Bombyx mori: one gene and its partners. The protein of the gene in region 6 binds, or shares a complex with, the protein of the main gene of each other region. Links are inferred from orthologs where the notes say so. Each region holds a gene or a part of one and is shown on either strand. Other genes may lie near its edges.

Evidence for each region.
Region 1: pre-mRNA-splicing factor CWC22 homolog (region 6) and G-patch domain and KOW motifs-containing protein share a complex: the UniProt entries of both Homo sapiens proteins name them as parts of the minor spliceosome. The link is inferred for Bombyx mori from reciprocal best matches to the Homo sapiens genes CWC22 and GPKOW.
Region 2: pre-mRNA-splicing factor CWC22 homolog (region 6) and protein crooked neck share a complex: the UniProt entries of both Homo sapiens proteins name them as parts of the minor spliceosome. The link is inferred for Bombyx mori from reciprocal best matches to the Homo sapiens genes CWC22 and CRNKL1.
Region 3: pre-mRNA-splicing factor CWC22 homolog (region 6) and splicing factor 3B subunit 5 share a complex: the UniProt entries of both Homo sapiens proteins name them as parts of the minor spliceosome. The link is inferred for Bombyx mori from reciprocal best matches to the Homo sapiens genes CWC22 and SF3B5.
Region 4: pre-mRNA-splicing factor CWC22 homolog (region 6) and small nuclear ribonucleoprotein G share a complex: the UniProt entries of both Homo sapiens proteins name them as parts of the minor spliceosome. The link is inferred for Bombyx mori from reciprocal best matches to the Homo sapiens genes CWC22 and SNRPG.
Region 5: pre-mRNA-splicing factor CWC22 homolog (region 6) and cysteine-rich PDZ-binding protein share a complex: the UniProt entries of both Homo sapiens proteins name them as parts of the minor spliceosome. The link is inferred for Bombyx mori from reciprocal best matches to the Homo sapiens genes CWC22 and CRIPT.
Region 7: pre-mRNA-splicing factor CWC22 homolog (region 6) and serine/arginine repetitive matrix protein 1 share a complex: the UniProt entries of both Homo sapiens proteins name them as parts of the minor spliceosome. The link is inferred for Bombyx mori from reciprocal best matches to the Homo sapiens genes CWC22 and SRRM1.

Annotation. Positions count from the first base shown.
Region 1 is NC_085127.1:6,320,513-6,324,673, reverse strand, and holds the end of G-patch domain and KOW motifs-containing protein, read left to right. Parts: intron 1-2,119; coding exon 2,120-2,252; intron 2,253-3,357; coding exon of another isoform or gene 3,358-3,428; exon of another isoform or gene 3,429-3,429; intron 3,430-3,520; coding exon 3,521-3,981; 3' UTR 3,982-4,010; downstream 4,011-4,161. UniProt on the Homo sapiens protein: RNA-binding protein involved in pre-mRNA splicing. As a component of the minor spliceosome, involved in the splicing of U12-type introns in pre-mRNAs.
Region 2 is NC_085124.1:5,696,591-5,701,536, reverse strand, and holds the start of protein crooked neck, read right to left. Parts: upstream 3,181-4,946; 5' UTR 3,018-3,180; coding exon 2,979-3,017; intron 2,906-2,978; coding exon 2,720-2,905; intron 2,375-2,719; coding exon 2,259-2,374; intron 1,369-2,258; coding exon 1,212-1,368; intron 1,118-1,211; coding exon 1-1,117. UniProt on the Homo sapiens protein: Involved in pre-mRNA splicing process. As a component of the minor spliceosome, involved in the splicing of U12-type introns in pre-mRNAs.
Region 3 is NC_085126.1:5,965,412-5,968,451, forward strand, and holds splicing factor 3B subunit 5, read right to left. Parts: upstream 1,427-3,040; 5' UTR 1,267-1,426; intron 1,162-1,266; 5' UTR 1,156-1,161; coding exon 898-1,155; 3' UTR 819-897; downstream 1-818. Other genes in the region: uncharacterized protein LOC101736097, read left to right, coding at 2,866-3,012. UniProt on the Homo sapiens protein: Component of the 17S U2 SnRNP complex of the spliceosome, a large ribonucleoprotein complex that removes introns from transcribed pre-mRNAs.
Region 4 is NC_085133.1:8,585,224-8,588,548, forward strand, and holds the end of small nuclear ribonucleoprotein G, read right to left. Parts: exon of another isoform or gene 2,860-3,325; intron 2,855-2,859; exon of another isoform or gene 2,851-2,854; 5' UTR 2,766-2,850; coding exon 2,734-2,765; intron 2,550-2,733; coding exon 2,402-2,549; intron 1,063-2,401; coding exon 1,012-1,062; 3' UTR 792-1,011; downstream 1-791. UniProt on the Homo sapiens protein: Plays a role in pre-mRNA splicing as a core component of the spliceosomal U1, U2, U4 and U5 small nuclear ribonucleoproteins (snRNPs), the building blocks of the spliceosome.
Region 5 is NC_085130.1:5,680,783-5,685,419, forward strand, and holds cysteine-rich PDZ-binding protein, read right to left. Parts: upstream 3,278-4,637; 5' UTR 3,016-3,277; coding exon 2,843-3,015; intron 1,257-2,842; coding exon 1,127-1,256; 3' UTR 1,048-1,126; downstream 1-1,047. Other genes in the region: drebrin-like protein, read right to left, coding at 4,157-4,637. UniProt on the Homo sapiens protein: As a component of the minor spliceosome, involved in the splicing of U12-type introns in pre-mRNAs. Involved in the cytoskeletal anchoring of DLG4 in excitatory synapses.
Region 6 is NC_085110.1:1,337,725-1,342,405, forward strand, and holds the start of pre-mRNA-splicing factor CWC22 homolog, read right to left. Parts: upstream 3,051-4,681; 5' UTR 2,822-3,050; coding exon 1,774-2,821; intron 1,251-1,773; coding exon 593-1,250; intron 1-592. UniProt on the Homo sapiens protein: Required for pre-mRNA splicing as component of the spliceosome. As a component of the minor spliceosome, involved in the splicing of U12-type introns in pre-mRNAs. Promotes exon-junction complex (EJC) assembly.
Region 7 is NC_085128.1:8,257,641-8,261,801, reverse strand, and holds part of serine/arginine repetitive matrix protein 1, read right to left. Parts: exon of another isoform or gene 4,132-4,161; coding exon 3,961-4,131; intron 3,739-3,960; coding exon 3,611-3,738; intron 2,556-3,610; coding exon 2,461-2,555; intron 1-2,460. UniProt on the Homo sapiens protein: Part of pre- and post-splicing multiprotein mRNP complexes. As a component of the minor spliceosome, involved in the splicing of U12-type introns in pre-mRNAs. Involved in numerous pre-mRNA processing events.

The DNA of each region.
Region 1 (4,161 bases), on a different chromosome or scaffold from region 6:
GGATAGGCAACGCTGTACAAATATCGTCGATAATCTCGTTCTCACTGACTATCTGTAACCTCTGGGTCTCCAGAGTCAAATAGAGGGACTCCAATAATATCAAATAGGCCTCCAAATAAAGGGACTCCACTTTTCTTTGTATTCTGTTATGTATGTACCTAGTCAGGTCATAAATTCTGTCACATGTTTAATGTAAAATAATTGAAAAAAGTTTATTCATTACGTAACCATTCATATACCAAAATGAACTTAACAAAACATAGATTCTTATGACACTAAAGTTTATTCAAAATGACCTCCGTGATTTTGAATACAGGCCTTCAATCTGCGCGGCCAGTCGTCTATCGCAGCACGAACGAGGTTCATGTCAATATCGGCGGCTGCCTTAATCAAGGATGTCTTGCGTGACTCCAAATTGGGATGAGGCTTTGAGCACGCCTTTTCCTCCAAGTGTTGCCATATCTTGTAATCTAACGGATTCAAATCTGGACTGGAGGAGGGCCAGTCTTCGTGCCGGATGAAGTCGATTTCACGCGCCGCCAGCCAGTCTTGTGTGCTCTTCGCTCTATGAGCTGGCGCCGAATCTTGTTGGAATACCCAGTGCCTGTTATTGAACATGGTATGAGAAACAGGTTCCACAAGGTTCGTCAGGACTGTATTTTGATACACAACTGCATTCGTTTTTACACCTTTCTCACAAAAATGTACCTCTGTTAATCCCCATTAAGAAACTCCCAACCATATCAAGAGCGAGGATGGAAAATGACCTCGTTGGACACGCGGAATACGGTTGCTCGCTTCTTCACTACTGTGTGCGTACACCTTATCATTTTGTTTGTTGTAGCTCTCTTCTACGGTAAAAATTTTTTCATCCGAAAAAACAATTTCCCGATATTTTTTTCCCGCGTACCGCTTCAACAAAGCGCGGCATCTCTTCAGTCTCAGGTCCATTAGACGAGCATTCAAACGATGTCCTGTTTTTCTTCGATATGCCCGAAGCCCTAAGTCTTCATTTAACACCCTTTTCACCGTGGTTCTGCTTAACCCCATCTGAAGGGCCAACAGTTTCTACTTACGTTTGGGATTTCTTTGAATTCGCGCCTTCACAGCTTTTATCACTGCTGGAGTCCTAACAGACCGAGGGCGACCACTTCTTGACCTGTCATCGACACTAGAGTCTTCATTGTATCGTTTGATGGTACGATAAACGAATCTTTTGGTTATATTCAAATTTTTCAGTATGTTAAAAATTTGAATTGGCGCGTAACCGCAACGATGCAACGCAATAACTGCAACACGGTCTTCTTTAAGCGTCCACTCCATATTTAAAAATGAGTAAAATTCTAAAAGTATACATTTTTATTTTCATGAACAATTCGAAATTCGAATTCAATAAACTTTTTTGTGGCCAGCATTCTAAAAGAAAAGTTTTTACTGTGTGACAATACTTATGACCTGACTAGTTATAATAAGGAGCACTCCGAGCACACATTTCATCTTTTTACCATTGCACCGCTCGCGACTGGAGCAGATTGTTTCAGAGATCTTTTTGCCATGTACCTTCTGGCTCATATTACTCTGGAATAAAGTCCCCTCCACTGTGTTTCTAATTGCTACGACATGACATTCTTCAAAAAAAGTTTTAAGGAAAGTCATTTGCGGTAGGCAGCTGCTTAGCTATAGTACTGGCGTTGCTGATGTCCTTGAGTGACTGTGACCAATAACTGGCAGGCAAAAAATTGACCTACAAAGGCAAAAAAATGAGTTAAATAAATAAATATAAATATTTACTGACAATCACGCCACGTTAACTGGTGATAAGTTCGTAAAGAACTTGTGTTACAAGTTAACGGAGTTAAGTCCATATAACGGAAATAAATGTAAGATTTTTTATTATACACATACATATATTTAATATACATCCATAACCCTGGAAAATACATTTATATTTACCATACAAATATCTTCCCTTGGCGGGATTCGAACCCGCGACCCCCTTGTGTAGTGACCATGTCACTTACCACTACACCGGACGGCCGTTAGTTTCCTATGCTAACTCCTATAGGATATGTATAAAGATACCTCACCTTTTGTCATACAATTTTCAAAAACATTTCAGGTGCTTAGCCTCGATGAAGACAACGGCAGAGCTATGGTCAATATAGTGATGAAAAATGAAACTGTCAATCTAAGCGAGTTCATGATGCATCCGGTCACAAAGTCCGAATTCGACAAGGAATCCAAAGTTATAAGTACTTAATTTTTTTTCATTTACATCTGTCCTCCTTGTCTCTGATCTCTTGGCAGAATGGTCGTGACCGTTGTGTGTTTAGTGATGGGTTTTATCCGGTGACACTTCTGTCAGTTACCTGTGTCTGGTGCCTTATGTGCAGGAAGCAATTTCTTGTAGCCCTTATCTGGTCAGTCTTAGACAACTATAAACTTTTTATAGGCCACCATATTCCTTTCTAATTTGACTATTTACTACTTGTGAAGAATACTTAACGGTAGGTAGTGGTTTGGCTCTGCCCCTGGCATTGCTGACGTCCATGGGCGACGGTAATTACTCATCATCAGGTGGGTCTAATGCACGCCTGTCTACAAAGGCAATTAAAAAAAATCAGGTCCATCTGTTCACAATATTTTGTGAACAACAAATTGTGTGTTACACAATATTTTGTGTGTTACAAATTATGTAAACAAATTTTGTTTAAAACAGCCGTGAAGCTTATAAACCGTCTGGTTTTAATAAGTTGCAGTGCTTCACAGCGTGAAAGCAGTCATCTTAAGATATAAGACCAAAGTCACCATTGAAGAACGCCTATAACCAAACTGTAAACCAGAATGCGTAAATACTGGTGGTAGGACCTCTTGTGAGTCCGCGCGGGTAGGTAACCACCCCGCCTATTTCTGCCGTGAAGCAGTAATGCGTTTCGGTTTGAAGGGTGTGGCAGCCGTTGTATCTATACTGAGACCATAGAACTCATGTCTCAAGGTGGGTGGCGGCATTTACGTTGTAGATGTCTATGGGGTCTGGTAATCACCTAACATCAGGTGAGCAGTGAGCTCGTCCACCAATCTAAGCAATAAAAAATAAAATACTTTGTAGAAGGAAGGAATTTTATAAATTTTGGGAATTTAGTTTCATTACACAATATAAAAGTGTTGAAGTCTGTTGTGACCACCTGTTAGGCTAGTATTGTCTTGTCATGACACTCAAATCACAATTGTATATATAAATTGTGCTTGGTCTGATTCATCTATATATATTATAAGTTCTACATTTATTTTTCAATTGAGTTACAATAATCGGCTAAATGTCCAAGTATTGTAACCTAATTACGATTTTTTTCACAGGTTCTATTGAAGAACTCTCTCACAATGTGAAGTTTAATTTAAATGTATTTTCTCCGCGGAGGGGCCTGTAAGGTACAATACTTGGACCATTCACATGTAAATTTGTTTTTTTTTTGCAAGAGCAATACACTTAGTAAATATAAAAAAATGTAAATATTTATAGATGCAGACAAGTACGAAAAATACAAGAAAGATGAAAAAGTTCCTCAATCGTCAAAAGAAAAAGATATAGAGAGTTCACCTAAAAGAGAAACGAAGAAAGAAAAGTATGAACATACCGACAGGCGTGAAAGAGAAGATTGGTCAAATGGTAAAAATAGAAAAGAGGATAGACATAGGAGAGACTCGTCAAGCACCGGTGAAGAGAGATCTCAGAAGAAAAAGAAGCACAAAAAAAGATACAGCAGCAACGAATCTTTAAGTTCTCAATCAGAGGATGAGAGGAGGCGGAGGAAGAAAGACAAGAAAAAGCGTGAAAGAAGCGTGGATTCTGAAGATGAATATAAAAAGAATAAAGGTAGCGCTACACCGGACGGCAAACGAGATATCGATAAGAAGAGGAAGGGAAAAAAGAAGAAAAGAGACAGGGATCGTTCACCGAATTATAAAAAACATAGAAAATAAGCTTTAAATGAATTACAATCTTCATCATTTTTATTTTTTTATTTTCCGCTTCTTGTTTTGACCGAAAAAGGCCCTTTAGAATTGAAACTAACCGGTTTAATCTCAGAACCCTTGAATCTCGAGCTGCTTAAAAGTTCAGTCAGGAAAAAAACCGCAAAGTTGTGATTCTGATTCCATTTT
Region 2 (4,946 bases), on a different chromosome or scaffold from region 6:
CCAAAAGTCTTTCATAAAGCTGTCTTGCTTTTTCAGTTTCTCCTTGTGATACCTCAAAATCGATATAGCTTTTCCACAACAATTCTGGCATATCTAATCTCTGTTGACCTACAGCTATTTCATAAATAGCCCTTGCGCGATCTGTATCTCCAAGCAGAGTTTCTAACTCTGCAAACTTTATCCATGTTACACAATTTTCTGGACCATACTCTAAGAATTTCTGGTATAATATTCTACATCTGTCAAATTCTCTCAACTGTATCTCAAGGTCTATATAACCTCTGTATAATTTATCTCTGGGGCACATGCCCAGAGCCATACCAAGTGTTTTTCTTGCTTGCTTTAAATCTTTACATCTCACTTCAAACTGAGCATACATGAGCCATATTTTTGAGAAAGTAAATATCTTATGAGGAATTAATTCTAAACAGGTTCTGTAAACTTGTCTTGTTCGATCTAAATCTTCTGCTTCTAACTCTTCATATAAAGCGTAATTAATCCACAAGTAAATATAACGCCTCCAAAATTGTTTGTCCTTTGAAGGAGGGATATTTGCAATTGCTCTCTCATATGTGTCTCTTATGTCATCTAAATTACCCTCATTCTCCACTAATCTAATATAATCAAACCATGCATCATAATTTGTGGGATTCTCTATAACTTCCTGTTCATACATATACTTTCTCTTATTTACTATTACATCCTCAATGCCAGATCTATCACCATACTTCTTTTCATGAATAGTATAAGCTTTATAAAGTTCTTTATTTCTGTCTTTTGGGACATGATCCAGAGCATATTTGTAAATCACTCTTGCTCTGTCATGTTCTTTTTGATTTTCTTCAAATTTGGCAAACGCTATAAACAGTCTTTCATCTAATTCTTCATCACCAAAGAATTCAACAGCTCTCTCAAAAACTGTCCTAGAGCCATTTATGAAACCATGGTTTTCTTCAAATTTTGCATATTTTATCCAATTCTTTACATCTGGATGCACCATAACAAACTGTTCATAGATTTGTCTAGCCCGTTCAAGTTCTTTGTACCTCAATTCAAAGTTTATGTATGTTTGCCAAGCTTGCTCATCTGGATGCCATTCCATCCAACGTTCAAATACCTGTGAAACAAAAGTAAATTAGAAACCTTGTTTCAGTTACAGTCAGTGACTATTATCATTATACGAGAAATTGTACATGTATAAAAAATATCACCTGTCTTGCTCCAGCTACATTTTCCAACATTTCCTCCATGTAAGTATATTTGTACCAAAACTGAGATACTCTTGGCAGAATTGTAACAGCTCTGTCCCATAGATTACGGGCATGGTTTACCTGTCTGTTCCTCATTTCCATTTCAGTATACTTCAGCCTAAAACCCATGATACGCTGAGAATATTTTGGTGTGGTATAACAGCCTAAAGTACAGGTAGTTAAGGTAGTGTGGATAATTGAAGAGTGACGCAAATTTAACAGTTAAAACTGTAAGAAATTTACCAAGAAAGTCCATGACTTTTACAGATTTTTCAAAGTACAGATTGTTTTATTTGTTAAATAAGTGGCTCTTGGACTAAATAGGCATCAATTTGAGATTGAAGTCTCAATTCCTTTATAAAACAACTGTTGGACAATTCAAACCAAATGCATAACTGTTGAAATAGGCAGGATGATATATTACATGCCAGTTCACAATACATTAATAGAGTATCAATTTTGTAATGACACTTTGTTCTTATTTACTTATGAAATTTCTTCATATCGGGTATGTATTTCCTTAAATATATTGGGCTTTAGGTAGCACAAAGGCTATGAACTCTAGTATAGTTGTATTGGTCATTACAAGTATATCAAACATCTTAACATTTCGTCCACAATTGTCTACAAGTTTACTAACCAAATAAAATTGTAATGTGAACAGAGTGACATAGGAATCTTTTTTATATGTTCTATTATAAGCTGATCTTTGTATGGTAACTCTTTAAGAATTAATTTTTTTCTTCACTGTGACATGAATTTTGTTCTAAAGCCCATGTCTTGAGTGATCCAACAATATGTCCTTGTTCAAATGAGGCTTACAAAGAGTACTCAGTAGTGTGACTAACAATTACTATCAGATGAGCCAAGAATGCAAAAAAAAATTAACACCACAGATTTCTCAAACATTTTTTAAAATAGTCATATGGTTTAAACACTGGCAGTACCAAGAGCACATAAGTTAATAATTTTTCAAATAAAATTGTTAATTGTAATGATAGCTCTCACCATAAGGTAACATTTCTGTGATCCACATCCAAAGCACGCTCATATATTGAACGAGCTCTTTGGATTTGCTTTTGTGATTCTTCCCATTGTGCATATTTAAGCCAGTTCCCAATAACCTGAAAACAAAAACAAAGCATCCATTAAACTAAAATTCGATATTATTATATTATTTGTTGTTTTCTTGAAGAAATACTACTAAATAAAAGTATCCTCATCTGGTTTTCGTCAGTAATGCTCTGAGTAGAAATTGTTTAGTACCCTTCTTATTGTGGAAACAGCATGAAACCTATATTGTTCAAAGGATCGTAATGGCACGAAATCAATTAATGAAATTAATTTGGTGAACTCTATCAGCTAGTAAAACTAAGCATTGGATGGTCTTAAAACTGAGAAACAATTACATTAATAGGAAAAACAGTCATTTATACATTGTAAGCGACTAATAAATTGAATTTACTTACAAGTCTGTTCTTTCTTATGTTGTCCTCAAATGCTTTACGTTTACGATGTTGGTAGTCTCGAAGTTCCTCAGGATCAGATATTTTCTGTTTAGGTGGCGGTGGTAATATCTCAAGGTCTCGTTCTTTGGCTTCCCTAAGTAATTGTTCAGCTGTTATTTGGATTTCTGCTGGTGCTTTATTCTTCACCTAAAAATCGTGAGATCCATGTTAAAATTGGAGTAATATTATTCAACAATACCATCAAACACTTTTTTCGTACCTTTGCCACTTTCGGCATTTTTGTTGTCTTGCTGTCCATGTTAAGTTCTACGTTCTGCACAGTTTATAATTTTTTAGTTCAGTTTAACCTAAATTTAATTTGATTACATACAATAAACAGCTAAGTACAGGAAAGGAAATCTTCAGGTTTTTTTTTTATTTATTGTCAAAATGAGAAGCATAGATTATACACATTTTTAAGAGAAGTGAATACGGTAGGTAGTGGTTAAGGGTGATACCGATATATTAGCATTCACTAAGATATTCGTAATACAGCTTGTATTCGTCTATCGGTAATCCGTCGAATTCTGATATGCTAATATTCCGTATTCACTTATTCATAATAATAGCCAGCTCACATCAGTCGGGTTGTATCTATCCACAGAACACTGTTACTCCTAGCGAAATATCTATCACACGAAAATATACTGACATACGCCGTACGTGTCTCGCGGATATCTGTTTATCACATTCATATCAATGCACTGCATGCGCTAAGAGTAAGTGAGATAATCTACATGTTTATATACTGAGCAATGAAAATAACTATATTTCGCTATGAGTTTAAGGACTATTTTGTATTGCACTTTTTACATGTCAAAGATGCCAGTGGGAATTTTTAAATGCATTACTTTTTATGTTTGTACTAAAGATTCGACTCAAGACAAAATAGTGCATTTCCACATTTATTGGAATAAAATCGGTGAGCTTTATTTTCATTAAATGTTTATATGTAATAAATTATGATGACAATATATTTTTGTGGTAGTAGTTAATTATCTTCTAAGAACTTCTCAAACTATAAATAAAAGTTTGATTTTTGAATCGAAATGACTTTCTAACCAAACGGTTCATGGATTATACTATTAATATAACTGTTGTGTACCTACTAGCCACCTCAGTACCGTATCAGAGGATTTTTTCGAAATCTGGAATACTCATTTCTGAGCGACGTACCGGTCATTCGGTAGAAAAAGTAAAAAAGCTGATGTTTTTATGCACCAATAAGAAATAAATAATATTACTAACTTGTTGTTTATATTAATGTACAATGTTGACCAAATTCTGGTTTAATAATAATATTCATATTAATGTACATAATATTACTTGTAAAATATTTAGTATGAAATCAAATTCCTAGATACAGTATACTATTTATATTAATTTAATAACTAATTTATGTGTATTATCTATGATTATTAACTTATTTCACGAATACCGTACTCGGTTAACTCGTTTACCCGTTTTATCGAAGTATATTAAGATATCAGGATATATTCACGCATTAGTTAAGTTATTATAATATTACATCATGAATATATTCGTATTCGCTAATATTGACAAATATCGGTATTAACCCATCTTTAGTAGTGATATGTAGGTAGTAGGTAGATTTTTTTTTATAAATTTCTAGTGGCTTCGAAACAAAGTTTTTTAAGCCAAGTAGGTAGGTATCTATGATAAATAGCACAGATAATACACGTAATATGTAAACTAAGCCATCGAACCACAGAGAATGTTTAGTTCGTTTATTGGACAGACAAAAGTAACTAGGCCATACAGCAAATATTTTGTAACTAAGGCTGAAAATATTGTACGAAGAATGAAATGGAACAAATGTAACGTATTTAATAAGAAATTAAATTAAACAGGAAGACCATAGACACTAAGAGGTGATTTAAATATGTTGGCTTAGTTGGCTAAGCTATAATAATAATGCAATGAGAATTTAATGGATTTGTTGAAAAAATCGAGAATCGATATCTAGAGTCTTTATATGCTCCTCTAAATAAACCATGTCGATAAACCTAAACGGCCAACTGATAAGTGGTGACTAGAGCTCTTGGACATCACAACCTCAATGCCGCTACCAATATTGGTGCATGAGGTTGAAATTTCTATTTGCATTGTGTAATTATTATGGCACCCTTCAAACCATTTTAAGTCGTTGTGGCCTAAAGGATAAGAG
Region 3 (3,040 bases), on a different chromosome or scaffold from region 6:
ACCTAGAACAAAGGTCCCGGCTGAATGCCATATGACCGCCTTATTAAAAATATTGCTTTCTACGACATTGGTAATAACGACATACCTCATAAAACGACCACATTTAACTAATATTTTGGAGAATTAGATCTGTTAGAACGACCGGCTAAGCTATATTGTAAACAATTTGAATAGGTATCCACATTTGTCTTCAATGGCTATTAAAATCAGGAAAGAAAACAATAGGATTTAGTTTAGTGTAGGGTCTTTTCTAATTCTTAGAAACAAAACACGTGCATGCAGTAGAGTCAAAGACCGCTTCTTCATATCTCTTCAGTTAGTTTATTACTTATCTATACATAAAACGCACCAAAACTTTGTGGAGTTATTCGTGAAACTTTGAAAATGTCGCAAAGAAAAAGAAAACAAATTAATATTGAAGAAAAATCACGTATTTTGTAAATATATTTTTCCAATAATTCCCTATCGATTTGTTTGTACTTGCACGATACACATTAAACATTACCGGTTGTTACGACTATCGGTTTTTACGACTGAATATGAGCAGTCCCTTCGATGTCGTTATAACAGATTTTGACTGTATATATATAAGGCTAAATGGAAATCAAAACTGATTTCTTTGAGATAAAACAATATGAAACAAGTTTGTATATAAAAATAAGATTGTCAAACATTTGACCATTGAACCAATTCTAAACTATAAACTATACCTGTTATTAAAATTTGTAGTTTTTATTGATAATAGTTGAGTTTTTGGTGGTACTATTTGAATAGACTAATTGTGTTTGTTAAAGGTTATAGAAATGAAAACAAACTGCTCGAATTTATGTCATGATAAGGGATTCAAAGTCAAATAATAAGTAAATTAGCTTAATTCTATTTTTAAAATCGAAGCGTTTAATCTTCAGGCTTTTCTGGCGGTGGGCCGCATGGTTGAAGCATTCGTTCCATCAAATTGAATTTTACGCGCGCTTTAGATTCATTTTCTACGATCGCAAAGTAACTCAACAAATCCGGATGACCCATGTAACTGCAGCAAGAGTCGCGATGTTGGTTCATAAGCCATTCATATTTTGTAGTGTCGGCGTGGCCTGTGCCTATATATTTGCTCTGTAGATGTTCAAGTTGACTGTGAATGTTGTATCTTTCACCCATTTTATTCTGTAAATTATTTTAAGGTTATAGTTCGAGTTAGTAATGTCATTAATGTAAAATTAAATGGTTATAAAATAAATAAAACGTTTCTAATAAAATATACACACTTACTTTAAAGGCAAGATGCTTGTTGAAATCGTATAGACTCTAAAGTTTATATTCTAATTCAGCTAATATTGATATCACGTAGCAGCCCAAAACAAAGAGTATTCATAGACAATACATAAATTGCAGTGCAGATTACTGCAGACACGGCGTATCTAAACCATAGATACAATACTTAACGTTGAAATCTAAACACCAAAGGTTGTGCACAGTTTTTTTTATTATTTCTTTCACTGCATCTTTCACAGTAAGTTCTTAGATCTGTTTACATATCATCTGGTTTTGAAATAAGCTTTCATCTTTTAACGAAGCTTGGGAAGAGCCCCGGCAGTGGAATTAGTCTTAGTCTATGCTTCTGACGTTGACGTTCATCAGAGACGATCGCCACTTATTATTAAGTGGGACAGATACTCGTTTGCCGATAATGCTGACCAAAACAGTTGAGTACAGCTGTGTTGTCACATTTTCCTATACTTGTGGACTTTTAGAGATACTAAACGGTTACAATTTTTCATTAATAGCACGTTTCAACAAACAAAAAAACAGTAAGTTAACAAAATTAACTATTAACTACACTTCTACAGCTCACGCAACAAAGTTATTAAAGCAAAGAGGTTAATAAAAGATAAAATAAAAAGTAAAAAAAGGTAAAGGAAGGATAGAAGTCGTCGTGGTCTAACGGATAGGACGTCCAGTGCATTCGTGTTGAGCGATGCACCGGTGTTCGAATCTCAGGAGGGTACCAATTTTTCTAATGAAATACATACTAAACAAATGTTCACGATTGACTTCCACGGTGAAGGAATAACATCGTGTAATAAAAATGAACCCCGCAAAATTATATTTTGCGTAATTACTGGTGGCAGGACCTCTTGTGAGTCCGCGCGGGTGGGGACCACCACCCTGCCTATTTCTGCCGTGAAGCAGTAATGCGTTTCGGTTTGAAGGGTGGGGCAGCCGTTGTAACTAAACTTGAGACCTTAGAACTTACTATATCTCAAGGTGGGTGGCGCATTTACGTTGTGGATGTCTATGGGCTCCAGTAACCACTTAACACCAGGTGGGCTGTGAGCTCGTCCACCCACCAAAGCAATAAAAAAAAACCCGTGAGATATACATAATTACAACCACGCTAGATCAGCTGCATCTATCATGGAATCTTAAGCTCATCATCATCATCATCATCATCATCAACAGCCCACAGTCGTCCACTGCTGGACATAAGCCTCTCCCAATCCACACCACTGAGCCCGGTCTGCGGTTCTCCTCATCCACTTATCTTAAGCTCACAGGTATTTTAATTAAGTGTATTTTCTATGCTCACAGTTACATATCAACTTAGAGTACTTACAAAGTACACTCTAGGGTACGTTGATATCGTCGTATTTCTAAACTCTTTGGTATGTTGTTATGTTGATTAATTGATCAATTTAAAACCAGTTGCCATAGAAAATACACTACCGTGTTTATTCAATATTTTTGATAAACTTAATAACCAGAAGCCAGTCATTACTGAGAGAGTTGTTTTTATCAAGATATACATTTCGTAATTCTGTTCGCCTTTAAATATTCTCTATTCAGAATTATTGTTATTTCTGACAAGTTATGAGCAAATTACCGAAAGAAACAGAGCTTAAAGAAAGTGAAAAAAATATTCGCAAACAAGCAAAGCAAATTGTAGAGCGAAAATATTCAAATGTTTTCAAAAGACCAACACATTTATTCATGCACGAAAAAAACATCTCCAATATCGTAAGTATTTCTTGATTTTCTGCCCTGT
Region 4 (3,325 bases), on a different chromosome or scaffold from region 6:
CAAGGTGGTCACGACCCTCAGTAATAAGGAAACGACAAAGAAGAAGAAGAAGAAGAATAGCGTATCTTCGATAAGGTTTAAATAACATCTGAGTCGACTATTATCAAAGGCGGCAATCTGACTTTTGGACAATGATTGGTAAATCAGAAAAACGAATTATTGACTTTGTATTCCATTGGCAGTCACAAAACTCTTCGGAATGACATCTTAGATAAATAACAGGTTAACTATTAACCTTTATTTAATGCAGGTTTTGAACCGTATTCTTTGAAGGAGACGATTATATTCAAATAAATCTGTATTGACATATCAATAAAAATTTTTTGTCCAAATGTACAGATTGCCGCCTTTGATAATAGACGACTCATCTATCGATTTACTTGCCTTAACAAGTGAACACCTGAAAAACCTGCACAATACCAAAATACTGCTTTTCCCACCAGAACTTCTAGAGTAGGAATTTATTTCTTCAAAGGTATATTCAGTTTGATACTTAGCTGTGCCAATTGCATTACTACAATGACCAACAGCAGTAGTTGCATGATCTAGAGCTAGACTCATCTATACTAATATTATAAAGAGGAAAGATTTGTTTGTTTCTTTGTTTCGAATAGGCTCCGAAACTACTGGACCGATTTGAAAAATTCTTTTTCCATTAGAAGCCGACATTGTCCCTGATGAACATAGGCTACTTTTTTTATTTTTTTTGGTTTCATGTGTGTTTTAATGTTTCCGAAGCGAAGCGAGGGCGGGTCGCTAGTAGAATATATAGATCAAAACAAACACAAATCTGAGGTGTTTCATTATTATTTATTAACTTAACCTAACATCACATTAAATTTAAATAGTGAAGTTTAGATATAAAATTATCAGTTTTCCTTTTTTTTTCTTTTACTGTTGCTGCTGTTGCTGTAGAAACTAAGTTTTAGATCCGAGTTTTATATTTATTTATTGATGAAAAGTGAAGCACATTTACAGCATTGGTGATATTTCTTGCCCACTCTAAGTCTACTAAAGTCTGTCTAAAGATTCCAGCATTATAATACTGTTACCACGAATTACCTGAAAGAAAGATTAAATTGTTTTATTCAGTTCCTTTACAGTCAAATATTTTTTGTCATAAAAAATCACGAGCTACTGCTGAGCAATAGTAGTGATTTCTAAAATACCATGTGAAGGACACAGCAAAACTAATGCTTACAGCTAAACAAAATAGTTGTATGTAACTTACAACTATTTTTTAAATATCAAACACACTATCTGAGTCGTCTATTATCAAAGGTGGCAATCTGTGCATTTGGACAAAAAAATGTTATTGATATGTCAATACAGATTTATTTGAATATAATCGTCTCCTTCAAAGAATACGGTTCAAAACCTGCATTAAATAAAGGTTAATACTTAACCTGTTATTTATCTAAGATGTCGTTCAGAAGAGTTTTGTGACTGCCAATAGAATACAAAGTCAATAATTCGTTTCTCTGATTTACCAATAATTGTCCAAAAGTCACATTGCCGCCTTTGATAATAGTCGACTCATCTATACTAAATACACTTCAAACATCAAGAATTGTTGTAGTGACAATACTTAATGAGTATTTATGAATGATCTCCACCCTGAATGAATTGTGTAATGTAAATCAAACCCCCAAAAATTATTATTTGCATAATTACTGGTGGTAGAGTATCTTTTTAGCGAGCACATGTAGATACAATATCCCAGTCTACTTCTGCCGTGAAGCAATTATGCGCTTTAGTATGAAGGGTAGGACACCTGTTGTACTATAAAATTGAGACTTAGAATTCATGTTTCAAGTTAAGTGATGGCATTTAAGTTGTTGATGTCATTGGGCTCCAGTAACCACCTACACCAGGTGGGCCGTGAGCTCATCCACACATCTAAGCGACAATCTCTTTCAGAATTCAACAAATGTTTGTGAAAGTTCTCTGCTGTAAAAAATAAAATGCAAAGTATTAAATTTTTTTAATGCGCCACCAATAGTGGCAACCTTTTTCGGCTCTGATAACCAAACTTGCCCTATTATAATCTATACTACATTAATATTATAAAGCTGAAGAGTTTGTTTGTTTGAACGCATTAATCTCAGGAGCTACTGGTCCGATTTGAAAAATTCTTTCAGTGTTAGATAGCCTATTTATTGAGGAAGGCTATGGGCTATATAACATCACGGTAAAACCAATACAAGTGGAGCACCAATAAAGAATGTTTCAAAATAGGGGATTTAAACAGCTCCTTAACATTCTATATTTAAAAAATACTTTCACTTTCTACGTAAATGAAGTGGGGGGTAAAATTTAGCGTTATGCCTAAGTAACTATTCCACGCGGACGGTGTCGCGGACAAAAGCTATCTTTAGAGTGTTCTTGAAAATATACTAACCACCATCCCAACATTGTTACGCTGACCGTCTTTACACTCCTCGACTGATTCATCAAGAACTAAATTCATGAATGGATCAAAACCGCGCAACACACCGGTAACAGCGCGACCCGCATTCAGCTTTATTGACAATTTTTTGTCCATGAATCTGAAATATATAAAAGCACCATTTAAAGTACATATTCTTTTTTGTGTATAAACATCAAATATGCGAATTTCTACGGACTAATTTGGGATTTTAAAGAATTTACGCTGTTCTTTTAATTTTAGGTTATAACAAGGACGCCAGCTTTGTTTGCGAGTGAAACAAACAAACTTCCAATATTACTTACTTTTTCAATTCTGGTGGATGTGCTTTTGACATTGTAATGTGCTTTTTAAAATATTATAATACGGAATTAATGTTATTGTCGTGGATTTTTGTATATTAGATGAATTTCCAACCCATCGAATTTTGCAGTGGGTGGAATCTCCCATACATATTTTTTTTATATGGGATGAGATCCGAAGTTGTGACACAACACAGTGTTACCGAGCTAATTGGTTTAACAGAGTCATAGTAATTTTTATCAATACGTGAACATTGAATTTGAAAACAAACCGTACGTTCTCTTTACTTATTTTTATTAATAATATAGTTTTCTTTGCATTTCTGTAATGCTACTACTACTCCTGCGTCTTAACGCGTTAATTAGTGCGCTAAATTGGCATTACGCACCTAGCTATAGAAAAATGTAAATTTCCTTATGGCAACACTAAACAAAATGCCGGTTAAGCTTTGTTGTTTTTGTTTGTTTTGTCGTTTATTCATTTGGTTTTGATGAATAACACATTGAGTTATTTAAAAAACTAAATGGCATTTTAATTTTTTAATATCGCTTATAAGTTCACGTTGATATTTTTCGAGAAAAGACTTTGTTCACA
Region 5 (4,637 bases), on a different chromosome or scaffold from region 6:
TGGACGTCTTATCCTTTAAGTCATAATAACTATAACAACCAACGCATTGGATCTTTAATCTGTGATGTTGGAATTGTAGAAAAAAACTGGCAGTTCCTTAAAAACCGATTCCAGTAAAATAAGACATTTAGAAAATTATTGTTAGTTTTTGGTACACCCTGTATTAATTAGCCGAGTAGATTTAAATTGGAAGGCAAGTGAAATGTTTGTGCCAGTCTTATGGTTTCATTATTCAGAATATACAGAATTATATATATTTTTATGTATATGTATTTATTTAAGTATGAGTATTTGTATCTATAAATATTATGTATGTCATATATGAGTCGACTATTATCAAAGCCGGCAATCTGACTTTTGGACAATGATTGGTAAATCAGAAAAACGAATTATTGACTTTGTATTCCATTGGCAGTCACAAAACTCTTCGGAACGAAATCTTAGATAAATAACAGGTTAACTATTAACCTTTATTTAGTGAAGGTTTTGAACCGTATTCTTTGAAGGAGACGATTATATTCAAATCAATCTGTATTGACATATCAATAAAAATATTTTGTCCAAATGCACAGATTGCCACCTTTGATAATAGACGACTCATATACACATATGTTTAAGTAATATCACCTTCACACTACACCTACCAAGGTTCATCTCTGCACCCCCCTAAGGTAGACTGTTAGAGAATGCCTATGGCATTAAGTCCTTTATACCGTTTAGTATATAAAGTTATAAATAAATAAATAAACATATATTCAGAATTATTCAGATTATTTAGAACATAGATAGGACAGATGACAACTTGTAACAATCATTATAATTTGTCATCATTCATGAGTGTTAGAATTATTCTCATTTCATTTTTGAAACCGATTTCTTGGATTCAAGTCTTGATTATCTGTAGTACCGCTAATTGTGGGTGTTCATAGGTTGGCATTACAATCCTATCTGTTTATTCCTCGAAGCAATCACACTTTACCATCCGTGAGGAAATTTCCAGTATCTTTATTATTATCTTAAAATAGTCCAAGGCATATAAAGCATTGCTTTACAAATACACTATATTTTTTCTTTTAGAACTTATTTAGGTAATGTTTCTTATGAACTAGGATAACATAACAATAAACTAAGTTGAGCTCTGTCTGTAATTCTTAGTGTCTAGAATCTTCTTTCCACACATGGCACATATACCCTTTTTGTATGCACAAGCTTGGCAGTAATGTGATCCGACCTGGTGTACTTTCGTTCTGCAGATTCTGAAAAATAAAAGAATATATTTTAAAAACTTTTAATACATTTTACTGGAGGTATGGTTAGACCTAATAGACGCCTTTGAAATGTGGAGCTGGAGAAAAACGTTACAGATTCCATGGAATGCCTTTCTCACCAACGTGACTATTCTGAGAGAGCTTAATATCATAACTAGTCTTTCCAATATATGCCTTCGTTGGGTGCTGGAATTCTTCGGACATATTGCCCGTAAAGAGGGTCACAATCTAGAACAGCTGATGCTGACAGGAAAGGAAGATGGCAAACGTCCAAGAGGATGCAGTACCACGAGATGGTCGGACTAAATACAATCTTCTCTGAACATCAACTTCCACAATGTCCTTCATGAAGCTAAGGATCGCAGCAGATGGAGGGAAATCGTACGGAAGAAACTGATGCAGCGGGGGAGTTCAGTAATGAGGAAAACGACACGAGGAGGTGGAGGTGGTATGGTGTAATGTACTGAAATAGGTTCCACAAACCTAGTTATTGCAACCATAAATTTGTCCCATTTTCAAAGGAGAGCCATTTTTAAATTCGAATAAATCTTCAACTGCATCTCTTCATATAAAAACAACGTACACATTACAATCATCTATGGCCCTATTAATCTACCCATGTAGTGTACTAAATAAATCACTCAAGAGAAGAAGGGATAATGAATATAAAAAACATCCTTCAAACAAGTAACAACTAACTTTTATTGTATTGTTATTTTACATATTGGTAACTAAAAGTCCAGCAGTATTTAGTGTGTTTGTCTGAAGCGTTCGGGATTAGGAAGTATTATTATGAATATATGAGGCAAAATTGGGGAAGTATTATTAAGAATGTATGAGTTAAAATTGGAGAAGTATTATTAAGAATGTATGAGTTAAAATTGGGGAAGTATTATTAAGAATGTATGAGGTAAAATTGGGGAAGTATTATTAAGAATGTATGAGGCAAAATTGGGGAAGTATTATTAAGAATGTATGAGGCAAAATTGGGGAAGTACTATTAAGAATGTATGAGTTAAAATTGGAGAAGTATTATTAAGAATGTATGAGTTAAAATTGGGGAAGTATTATTAAGAATGTATGAGGTAAAATTGGGGAAGTATTATTAAGAATGTATGAGGCAAAATTGGGGAAGTATTATTAAGAATGTATGAGGCAAAATTGGGGAAGTATTATTAAGAATGTATGAGGCAAAATTGGGGAAGTACTATTAAGAATGTATGAGTTAAAATTGGAGAAGTATTATTAAGAATGTATGAGTTAAAATTGGGGAAGTATTATTAAGAATGTATGAGGTAAAATTGGGGAAGTATTATTAAGAATGTATGAGGTAAAATTGGGGAAGTATTATTAAGAATGTATGAGGCAAAATTGGGGAAGTACTATTAAGAATGTATGAGTTAAAATTGGAGAAGTATTATTAAGAATGTATGAGTTAAAATTGGGGAAGTATTATTAAGAATGTATGAGTTAAAATTGGGGAAGTATTATTAAGAATGTATGAGGTAAAATTGGGGAAGTATTATTAAGAATGTATGAGGCAAAATTGGTTTTTAAACATCAGGATTACTCACTTGCACTGTTGAAATGTGGAAGTGTACGGATTAAATCGTCCTTTTTTGGCGGTTAATGCTTTGTTTTCTCCAACAACACGTCCGCCGGACTCCACGGTATTCCTAGCTCCAGCCTTCCAAGGGTCCGGCGTTATTACTCTGCCCAATTTCTTTTCGCACTTCTCACAAACCATTTTTGTTCTGTTTCTTACTAACCTAACGAGCTTGTATTAGTACGAAATTTTATTAAATTGTTGTTTTGACTGAATAATATGTAGGTTATATTAATTAAATATTACTTATCAAATATTAAAATATGCTCTGCTAGTGAACAGCTAGTTTTATTAAGAAATCATAGTTAATACACTTAATATTTGTTAGAAATAAAATTTATTTAAGTTGATGTTGTTACTAATAGTTTTCTTTTGAATTGTCATTTGGATAGGCAACAGGAATGAAGCCCATACAGTCAAAACTTGTACCGAAGTGCGGTTCCGTGTCTGTGGTATTAAAAGTGGAACTAAAACAATACATAATACAAATTGAATTGGTTCTGGAATTAAATTGAATAAAGAAAATGAAATTCAATGAATTAATATAAAAGACGGTCAGGACTTAGATGAGATGAAAATACCTTGCAATCAAATGGGTGGACAGTTGGTTTACTAAGACGGACTTATTCTTCCTATTTTCCACGGACTTTTTGGAAGGGCCCGTTATGCCACGGCCTATTTTTCACTAAGACTACGGTTAATATTTCAATGTACTTTTACGAATTCTAATCGATTAATATGTAAATTTTAAGCCTGAAGAGACATTAAATTAAAAAGTAACAGCTTGAGTGCCCGCCAAATAGTCCTTAATGTTTCGTGCTGTATTTTCTTCAAATTAAATAGTGTAACGTCGGTCTCATGCAAACAAGAACTGCTTGGCAGTCCAAATAGGTTCGAAGCCAACTCGTGCCACTTATAAATCGCATAGTCCTACACGACTTCTGTGCGCACCCTGACCCTTAAGTACTTTGTATATTGTTTTAGAAACCGTCAAGACAAAATCGAGATCATGGGGCTTAAGTTGAAGAAAAAAACAAAATAATCACGTTTTCCCTGTAGATAAAAAAAACATCAAATAAAACATCATATCCAATTGCAATATAAGTATTGAGCGATTTATTAACTCGTTTCTCGATAAACATTTCAATAGATTTTATTATTCAACACATTCAACTTTCATAGTTTATTTATCCGACGCCGAAAGCTAATCTATATTAGTGGCACGTTACTCTATCAAAAGCGTTGTAACGGAATGTTGCAAGAAATAAAAACATACGAATTGCTAACTCTGATGTTCCTCCGCCATTTTCGTTGGAGCATCACTTGGATTTGTGTCATTTGACTCTGGGTAATATTGTTCTTGTGGAGCCTCCGCTGTGTTCTCATAGCTTTGTTCGTAATTCTGCTCGGGTTGGTAGTTGACTTCGGCTATGTTGTTGTATTGTTCTTCGCTATATTGCGCGTTGGGGTCAGCATATTGCTGATATTGTTCATAATTTTCATATTGTTCGTTTGCGTAAGTCGGCTCCTCGTAATTATTTTGGTATTCAGGTTGGTATTGCATTTCTGTTGCTTCGTAATTTTGTTCCTGTCCAATGAAATTCGCATCCTCTTGATAAGTCTGTTCTTTATGCTCTACGTCCATTGGTCTTTCTGATTTAATTGGTGCATCGTTTTGATTTTTGTAGGGTTTTTCATCATCTTTGGACATCGGTTGAGATTGATGTTCGTCGGTTATTGTTGTAGGCTCTTGGTGGTCGTGA
Region 6 (4,681 bases):
ATAACATTTTTTACAATTTTTGTCTGTATGTTTGTTCCAGCTTATCTCTGGGACGGTTGGACCGATTTTGCAGGGACTTTTACTGATAGGTAGCTGATGATATAAGGAGTAACTTATGTTACTTTTTTTAGACTAGCTTCGCCTCGCGGCTTCATCCGCGGTACGACAATAACCGCGGTTAACATCGCGGGGCTCAGCTATCAATAATAAAATTTAATGTTTCCGAAGCAAAGCGAGGGCAGTTCGCTAGTAATAAAGTTCGCAAGATTAAACCATAAAGATAGTTTTTGGTAAGCCGTAAACTTTGTTCACTGGTTCCGAAACCATCTCCTAACTCAAAAGAAAGGGTAAAGCTAGTATTAAATCACACCCATGAGCATAGCAATGTAGCAATTGTAGTTAAAATCAACATTCATTATTGTGAACCTCTCATAACAACTGTCATTGCTCTCAGCAATATATAATCGCTTGTCTGTGCCCTGAGCTATCCTTTCAAAGAGTTTCCACTGTCATTTGTCATATTTCCATTTGAAATTGAGGGTTTATTTATTATTATAAAACTAAAAAAACATCAAAACAAAGTAATACGAACGGATCTTGTAGACGGTCATTCAGTTTCTTTAGTCCCATGTATTCAGCCAGTTCTTGAAACAGAATCTTTATGTATATCCGACTAGAACTAGTTGTGTCTTCTTCGTTCAATTTAACACATTCCAAAGATTCCCAACTAATGGAATCTGTAAACAGCAGATGGGCGAAAAACTTGCTGACATTTCTGAGTCTATTCGTGTCCAACCTGTGTGCTGTTGAATATGAATCTTTGAAAATTTCCTCGAAAGGTCCGATGTATATTCTGTTGATGTTGCAAAACCTTTGGGCCAATAAGCCATAGAATTTCTCATATGTTCTCTGCTCAGCACAGCAGTCTAAGAACATGTGGCATAGTTCCACTTCTTGTCCTGGTTTCAGTTGCATCTTCATTAGTTTATGAGCACATTCTTCGAAATCTAAACTGGAGTTGATTGTCAGGTATATAGTGCGTCTCAGAGCCACTAAGTTTGTTTCTGTGTTATCAATAATAGTCATTTCTTTTTTTGGTTGTTCTTCATCTTCTTCATCAGATTCCTCACTACCGCTTTCTCCTGAACCATCTTCATCACCGGACTCAGCATCAGAACCAAGTATTTCCTTGCAAAGATTCTTGTACTTCTGTTCATTCTCTTCATACTTTTCATCAAATTTGAAAACATCTGAAGCATTTGGGAAAATTGTTATTTTTATTCTTTTATACTAATTTGCTTATTTTACATTTGTTTTAAATGGAGCATTAAGATAAATTGTTTATAACATTCAATAATGTTGGGCATAAATGAGTTAATACATACGATGGAAAATAAAAATAGGCTAAAATAATGGATATTGAATTCACTAACACAGAGTACTACTATCTTAAAACTTAAAGCAAAAAGTATATGAAAAAAAATTGAGATTGTTTAAGTTACATTTTTAAATAAGCTAAAAGCATTTTTATGTAAACTATATATAAAAATTTTTGATTAATCCTATTAAAAATTAAAACTTTACTCGTTTAGAGTGTTATATACACTCAAAACTTTTAGCATTTTAAGTGTTACAATAACTCTTGTGCATACCCTCAATAGCTATTAAATAACTTAGGGGAACAAATAATTCAATTGACAGACTGTACAGATAATCTACTTAAGTGTTTTATGGCTTATTTTTTTATGGATAGTTTAATAGAATATAACATACTCAGGATATCTTGAGGATCTGTAGCGTCATCCAGCATCAATAGATGTGTGAACTGTTCTTCTTCAGGCACGAGCTCCAACTCTTCAATCAGTGCCGGGTGGTCTTTGAACCCATCCTTCCAAACTTGGAACATTACTTCTATCATGTACTGAACTCTTTTGTCTAACTGACCTTCGTGCAAAATGTTCCTTAGCATCTCGAAAATTGCATTTACACCTTTAGATGATACTTCAGTCAATTTTTGGCCACATTCCTTTAAGAATGCTATGGCAACTTCAACTGAATCATCTGTTGGTGATTCAACTAGTAAAGTGAGAAGTTCTAAAGCCAGAATTTCATGTGCCACTCTCTGATTCACTAAATGTGCAATGAAAGATGCAGAGGAAATGCAAATTGACTTATCATTGCGTTTAAAACCTCTTTTGAATTGAATCACTAATCTTTTCAGTAACAACTCCCCGATATTAGGAAAACGTGAATTGACTGCTGATACTAGAGCCGCGTATACATTAGTGAATGTTGGCGAGGCTGCCTGGGCTTGAATAACAGAACGGCATAACAAACCTCGACCTCTGACAATGTTTTCTTTCAATAATTCCTTTATAATGATACCTATGTTACCGACATTAATTTTGTTGATGTGACCGTGAATTGACTTTTTGAGAGCTTCCCAGGCAAGTCTTTGGTAAGCTATCGAGGACTTATCCGTGATCTGCGCTTGCATCATCCTCAGTCTTGCTGGTGGAATGTATGCACCTCCTGTTCTAGTATTCAACATATCAGTATCTTTTGCGCGTCTTTCTGGCTTTGTAGAGGCATCTTTTTTTGTTTCTGGCTCTTTTTGTGTGTCTTTAACTCGTTTATCTTCCCTAGCCTTGTAATGAGGTGAGCGTGATTTGGAACGCCGGCGTTTACTTCTATACTCCCTATTCTGCTGTTCCTCAAGTGACTTAGATCTAGATCTAGCCCGTCTCGACCTTTTCGACCTACGCCTTTCATCATCTTCCTCGTATTTATCTTTCTTCTGCTTGGTGTTAGTCTTCTCCATTCTTATGATTTTTGTTTTGACACTACTAGACTACAATTGAACTTTTTATAAAAGAATTTAATACTGTATCTAGAACTCAATATTATTAAAACTATTCATTTTCAATATTATGTGTAAAATCATGAAATTTATTTCGATGAAAAAGTAGAACGTGCACTAAGTAAAATCCAGCTTGACCTTAATAAAACAGCCATTTTGTTTTGACATTTTTATTTTACTGTCATGTCAGTAGTAGTAGAGTAGTAGTAACTCCGTTTTCCAACTGAAAAGGTGAAGGTATCATACTATACGGCCTAATAAAGTAAAGTATTGTTTAAAAAAATTTAAATGAAGTTGTTTTTGCGACATTAATCAATTGAGATTTGAGATGACATTAAATGAAACGAAATGATATGAGATGAAATATAATATCAGTAAAATGGTGTTTATGTATTTGGACAAATTCAGTTAACTTTTTTAGATTATCCACTCTCGGCGCTGTTAGGTGCTAATTTAATGGATAATCCTAATGTTTGCAGCAAAGATTTTTTTTTCCTACCTAAGCTGATGTTCTAGAGAGATCATATCAGCGTCACCAGGCTAGTAGGTGAGCTCACGTTGCTCAAACCTGACGATGTTGCTAACACGAACCCTAGCAAGAGCAGTGCTGCGCAGAATCTACCACCGGATCGGAAACACGACCCACCGAAAAGATCTGGCGACAAACTCAGTGGGCTGTGTCTGTGGGTTAATTTATTCACCCAGTCCTTCGTCGCAAGCGAGGGGCTTGACGAGAACGATGACCGGTGCTTGGGGTACCTAAAAGCACCGTTAGTGGATCAGGAGGATCCGAGATGACGTATTTTGGGTGACGTCGAATGTTTACCATTTGGTCCGCAAGATCGGCAATGTAGTTATCGGCGGCCACGTTGAGAGGGTTCTCGTGTCGTCGGAGCCCATAGACACGTCATGATAATCGCCTTATCGTTGCCGCCGCTGATTACTCCCCGAATCCTGATCACGCAGGAGCAAGTCACCGTCGTCGCCCTAGACATGTCCTTACGGATCCATCAGATCCAATAACTCTTACATTAGATACCTTCAGCTCTAACACTAGGAGCAGGCTGAGGAACCCCGGTAACCGTACTCGTCGAACTCGACAAAGAGGTCGACGTGCAACCTAACCCATGCATCAGCTCGCTGAGTTTCTCACCGGATCTTCTCAGTGGGTCGCGATTCCGATCCGGTAGTAGATTCATTCGCGAAGCAATTGCTCTCGAGTTGTTAGGTCTCCTTCGGAGGCGCTCGGGTAGCTGTTAGCAAATCCCACCCCTCCTGGCTGAGCCTTTGCTCGCCCACCTGTCCTGGTGAAGCTGGAAAGGCCTCCGGGCCACCAGTAATCTTTCAATCATAAAAAAAAAACATTTACAACGTAAATGCGTCACCCACAAAGAAAAGCGGAAAGATTTCAAGAACAACGCCATAAGCAGCCACACTACAGCTATGCTCCGATAAGCACTGCCAGCATTGTAAGATGTGACGTCAATTTAATATACTGCGAAACTGTTCTTTTATAGTTAGCTATACTGGTCACTGTTTAAAACGGAACGTAATACAGTTTATTGTTATCGAAGATTTCTGTCGGTGTTTTCACTCTAACAAAAAATTATTGTTTAAATTTATTTATATTTGAAAAGAGAACATTCAAATTATTGTCGCTTAAATTAATCGCTTAATAAGACTCAGTATACTTTTTCATCATCATCATCATTCCTTCCTACTACCCTCTGCTGGGGTGTAGGGCTTGAATCAAATTTTTCCATTTACATCGGTCTTGGGCAGTCTGTTCTAGCTCCTCCCATGCCCAAGACCCCTAGCTCC
Region 7 (4,161 bases), on a different chromosome or scaffold from region 6:
AAGTGCCCGTTGGGGGTCGCAGCAGACCCTGGTATAACAATGCCAGCAGGGATGCTGCACACCTCAAGCGGTCCGCATACGTGGCATGGGATAATGCCAGGAGACGTCGGGATCCTAACATCTCAGGGGAAAGGCGGAAATATAACGCCGCTTCCAGGTCCTACAAGAAGGTAATTGCCAAGGCGAAGTCGGAGCACGTTGCTAGAGTTGGCGAGCGATTGAAGAGCTATCCCTCCGGGAGCCGTGCTTTTTGGTCGCTCGCCAAAGCTGCAGAAGGAAACTTTTGCAGGTCTAGTCTCCCACCACTGCGCAAGTCCGATGACAATCTGGCCCACAGCGCGAAAGAGAAGGCTGACCTTCTGGTCAAACTCTTCGCCTCGAACTCGACTATGGACGACGGGGGTGCCACACCACCGAGCATCCCCTGGTGTGATAGCTCCCTGCCGGATATCTGCTTCACACAGTGTGCAGTCAGGCGGGAGCTCCGACTCCTGGACGTTCATAAGTCGAGTGGGCCAGACGGCATCCCCGCAGTGGTTTTGAAAACGTGCGCCCCTGAGCTGACACCTGCGCTAACGCGTTTGTATCGCCTCTCTTATTGCACTAACAAGGTTCCGTCTTCATGGAAGACTGCTCATGTCCACCCTATCCCCAAGAAGGGTGACCGGTCGGACCCATCGAGCTACAGGCCTATCGCGATAACTTCCTTGCTTTCCAAGGTGATGGAGCGAATTATAAATACACAACTCCTGAAGTATCTTGAAGATCGCCAGCTGATCAGTGACCGACAGTACGGTTTCCGTCACGGTCGCTCAGCTGGCGATCTTCTTGTATACCTTACTCACAGGTGGGCTGAAGCCTTGGAGAGCAAGGGCGAGGCTCTCGCTGTGAGCCTTGATATCGCGAAGGCCTTCGACAGGGTCTGGCATAGGGCACTTCTATCGAAGTTACCATCTTACGGAATCCCCGAGGGTCTCTGCAAGTGGATCGCTAGCTTTTTGGATGGGCGGAGCATCACGGTCGTTGTAGACGGTGACTGTTCTGATACCATGACCATTAACGCTGGCGTTCCACAAGGTTCGGTGCTCTCCCCCACGCTTTTCATCCTGTATATCAATGACATGCTGTCTATTGATGGCATGCATTGCTATGCAGATGATAGCACGGGGGATGCGCGATATATCGGCCATCAGAGTCTCTCTCGGAGCGTGGTGCAAGAGAGACGATCAAAACTTGTGTCTGAAGTGGAGAACTCTCTGGGGCGAGTCTCCGAATGGGGTGAATTGAACTTGGTTCAATTCAACCCGATAAAGACACAAGTTTGCGCGTTCACTGCGAAGAAGGACCCCTTTGTCATGGCGCCGCAATTCCAAGGAGTATCCCTGCAACCTTCCGAGAGTATCGGGATACTTGGGGTCGACATTTCGAGCGATGTCCAGTTTCGGAGTCATTTGGAAGGCAAAGCCAAGTTGGCGTCCAAAATGCTGGGAGTCCTCAACAGAGCGAAGCGGTACTTCACGCCTGGACAAAGACTTTTGCTTTATAAAGCACAAGTCCGGCCTCGCGTGGAGTACTGCTCTCATCTCTGGGCCGGGGCTCCCAAATACCAGCTTCTTCCATTTGACTCCATACAGAGGAGGGCCGTTCGGATTGTCGATAATCCCATTCTCTCGGTTCGTTTGGAGCCTCTGGGTTTGCGGAGGGACTTCGGTTCCCTCTGTATTTTATACCGTATGTTCCATGGGGAGTGCTCTGAGGAATTGTTCGAGATGATACCAGCATCTCGTTTTTACCATCGCACCGCCCGCCACCGGAGTAGAGTTCATCCATACTACCTGGAGCCGCTGCGGTCATCCACAGTGCGTTTCCAGAGATCTTTTTTGCCACGTACCATCCGGCTATGGAATGAGCTCCCCTCCGCGGTGTTTCCCGAGCGCTATGACATGTCCTTCTTCAAACGAGGCTTGTGGAGAGTATTAAGCGGTAGGCAGCGGCTTGGCTCTGCCCCTGGCATTGCTGAAGTCCATGGGCGACGGTAACCACTCACCATCAGGTGGGCCGTATGCCCGTCTGCCTACAAAGGCAATAAAAAAAAAAAAAAAAAAAAAAAAAAAGTCTCAATTTTGTTATAATATACAATTTCGTTATAATATATGAACACAGTAAATATGAGTCGCCAAGAGTAATTGCATTGTATAACATCAATCCAACCCTTCAAACTGAAACGCAGGACTAGTTTGCCGCACAAATACACCGAATGGTGGTATCTACCCGTGCGGGCTTACAATACGCCCCATAACCAGTTAACAAAAGATAATGTAGACATTTTACTTCGCAACGATAACAGAAGCAAAATCTTACAATACAATCATATTTAAGTGAAAACAACACACCAACAAGTTTATTATGTTAACATTATCACTATCATTGTATTTTTATTTACGTCTACATTAACAGTACCTTTGGTTTCCGGTTCAGTTTTCGCAGGGCTGACCTTGTCTCTGATCGGGCTGCTGCGCCGTCTCGATCGACGCGGACTTCCGCCGTTACGATGCCTAGAGTAATTTTAATGGTCATTATCTTATGTCTAACTAGCTATCATCCTCAGCTACACGCTCCACATTTCGTACCTTTTTTTTCCTGTCTAAGCTGATGACCTTCAGAGACCAGCGTAACCTTAACAAGTAGGTGAGCTCACGGGGTCTCAAACCTAACCCTAGTAAGAGCAGTGCTTCGCAGAAACTATCACCGGATCGGAAACGCGACCCGCTGAGAAGATCCGGCGAGAAACCCAGTGAGCTGTGTCTATGGGTTAATTTACTCGCCGAGCCCTTCGTCGCAAGCGACGGGTTAGACGATGACAGGTGCTTGAAGTACCTAAAAGCTCCGTTAGTAGAACGGGATGATCCGACATGACGTGTTTTGGGCGACGATTTTGTACCACGTTGGGGGTGGTGACTCATACTCAGCAATGAGATAGATCAATGGTAGCTCTTTAACCATTTCCCAGGTTAAAACTAAAATTATGATTTTGACAGTTTTTTTTCTTATTAAATTATACATACGAATATATTTTGCTATTTAACAATTAACAGTACAAGAACACAATTTAAAAAATATTTGTAATTATCGTAACTAATTAGCAACACGCAATTTTAATAAAACAATATATACTACTACTACTCCTAATTAATCAGTTGACTGGCGATAAATAAATGTAATTCCGAATGTGCACAACCAACAGAAAATAGTCACATGGTGATTCTACTGCTCTTCAGTAGTAACCCCTTTTATATTCTATTTTACTCCATGAATAGACTAACTCGAATTTTACTAATTTAATATATGTATGACAGACAACCTTTACATTCTCAAAAATATATTCCAAATGCTTACTCCTTATCACTATGTGGGCATAGTGATAAACGGCGACTGTTACTCTGTTAATGATTTTAAGCGTTTAATTTCAGAGGATCCGCTATTCAACTAAGCACACTATTGTTTTGTATTATTAAATGGGCAGCATAGTATTAAGTATCCATGTGCAATCCACCCCTACTACCACCAGCAATGGATGCTGCTACCTGGAAAATATACGTCTACTACTAACTTTCTGTCACTGGAACGATCACGAGAACGAGTTCGCGAGCGCCGTCGGTCGCGAGAGCGGCGCCGGGAACGCGACCGGGACCTCGATCTCCGTCGCTCCTTGTCTTTGTCCTTGTTCTGCTGCTCCTCCTATTTCACGTAATGTGTTTTCATTTTACAACCAAAGTATTAATTTTCTTACTTATTCTCATAATGGTAAAGTGGTGGATATTATACATTTTGATCATCCAAAAGTACATGACTGTCTGTATTGGATTATATGCTCAAATAAATATTTACTATATGGGACAATTAATAAAATTTATGAAATTTGCTACTTCAATGTTAGTCAATATTGAAGTTAATGCATACCATTCTCTTCTTTATTTCTTCTTTCTTCTGCTGAGTAAATGATTCGGGTATACCGTTTTCACTGGCCTGCGCGCTCAGCAACAGCTCCCATAACTCTCCCATGAAAAGGCGTGCGTTCTTTCCATTTAGGAATCCAGTCAAGTTGATCTGCATTTTCTTTGGGCATGGGAACTAGGATCCGACATAGATGGGATCAGGAAA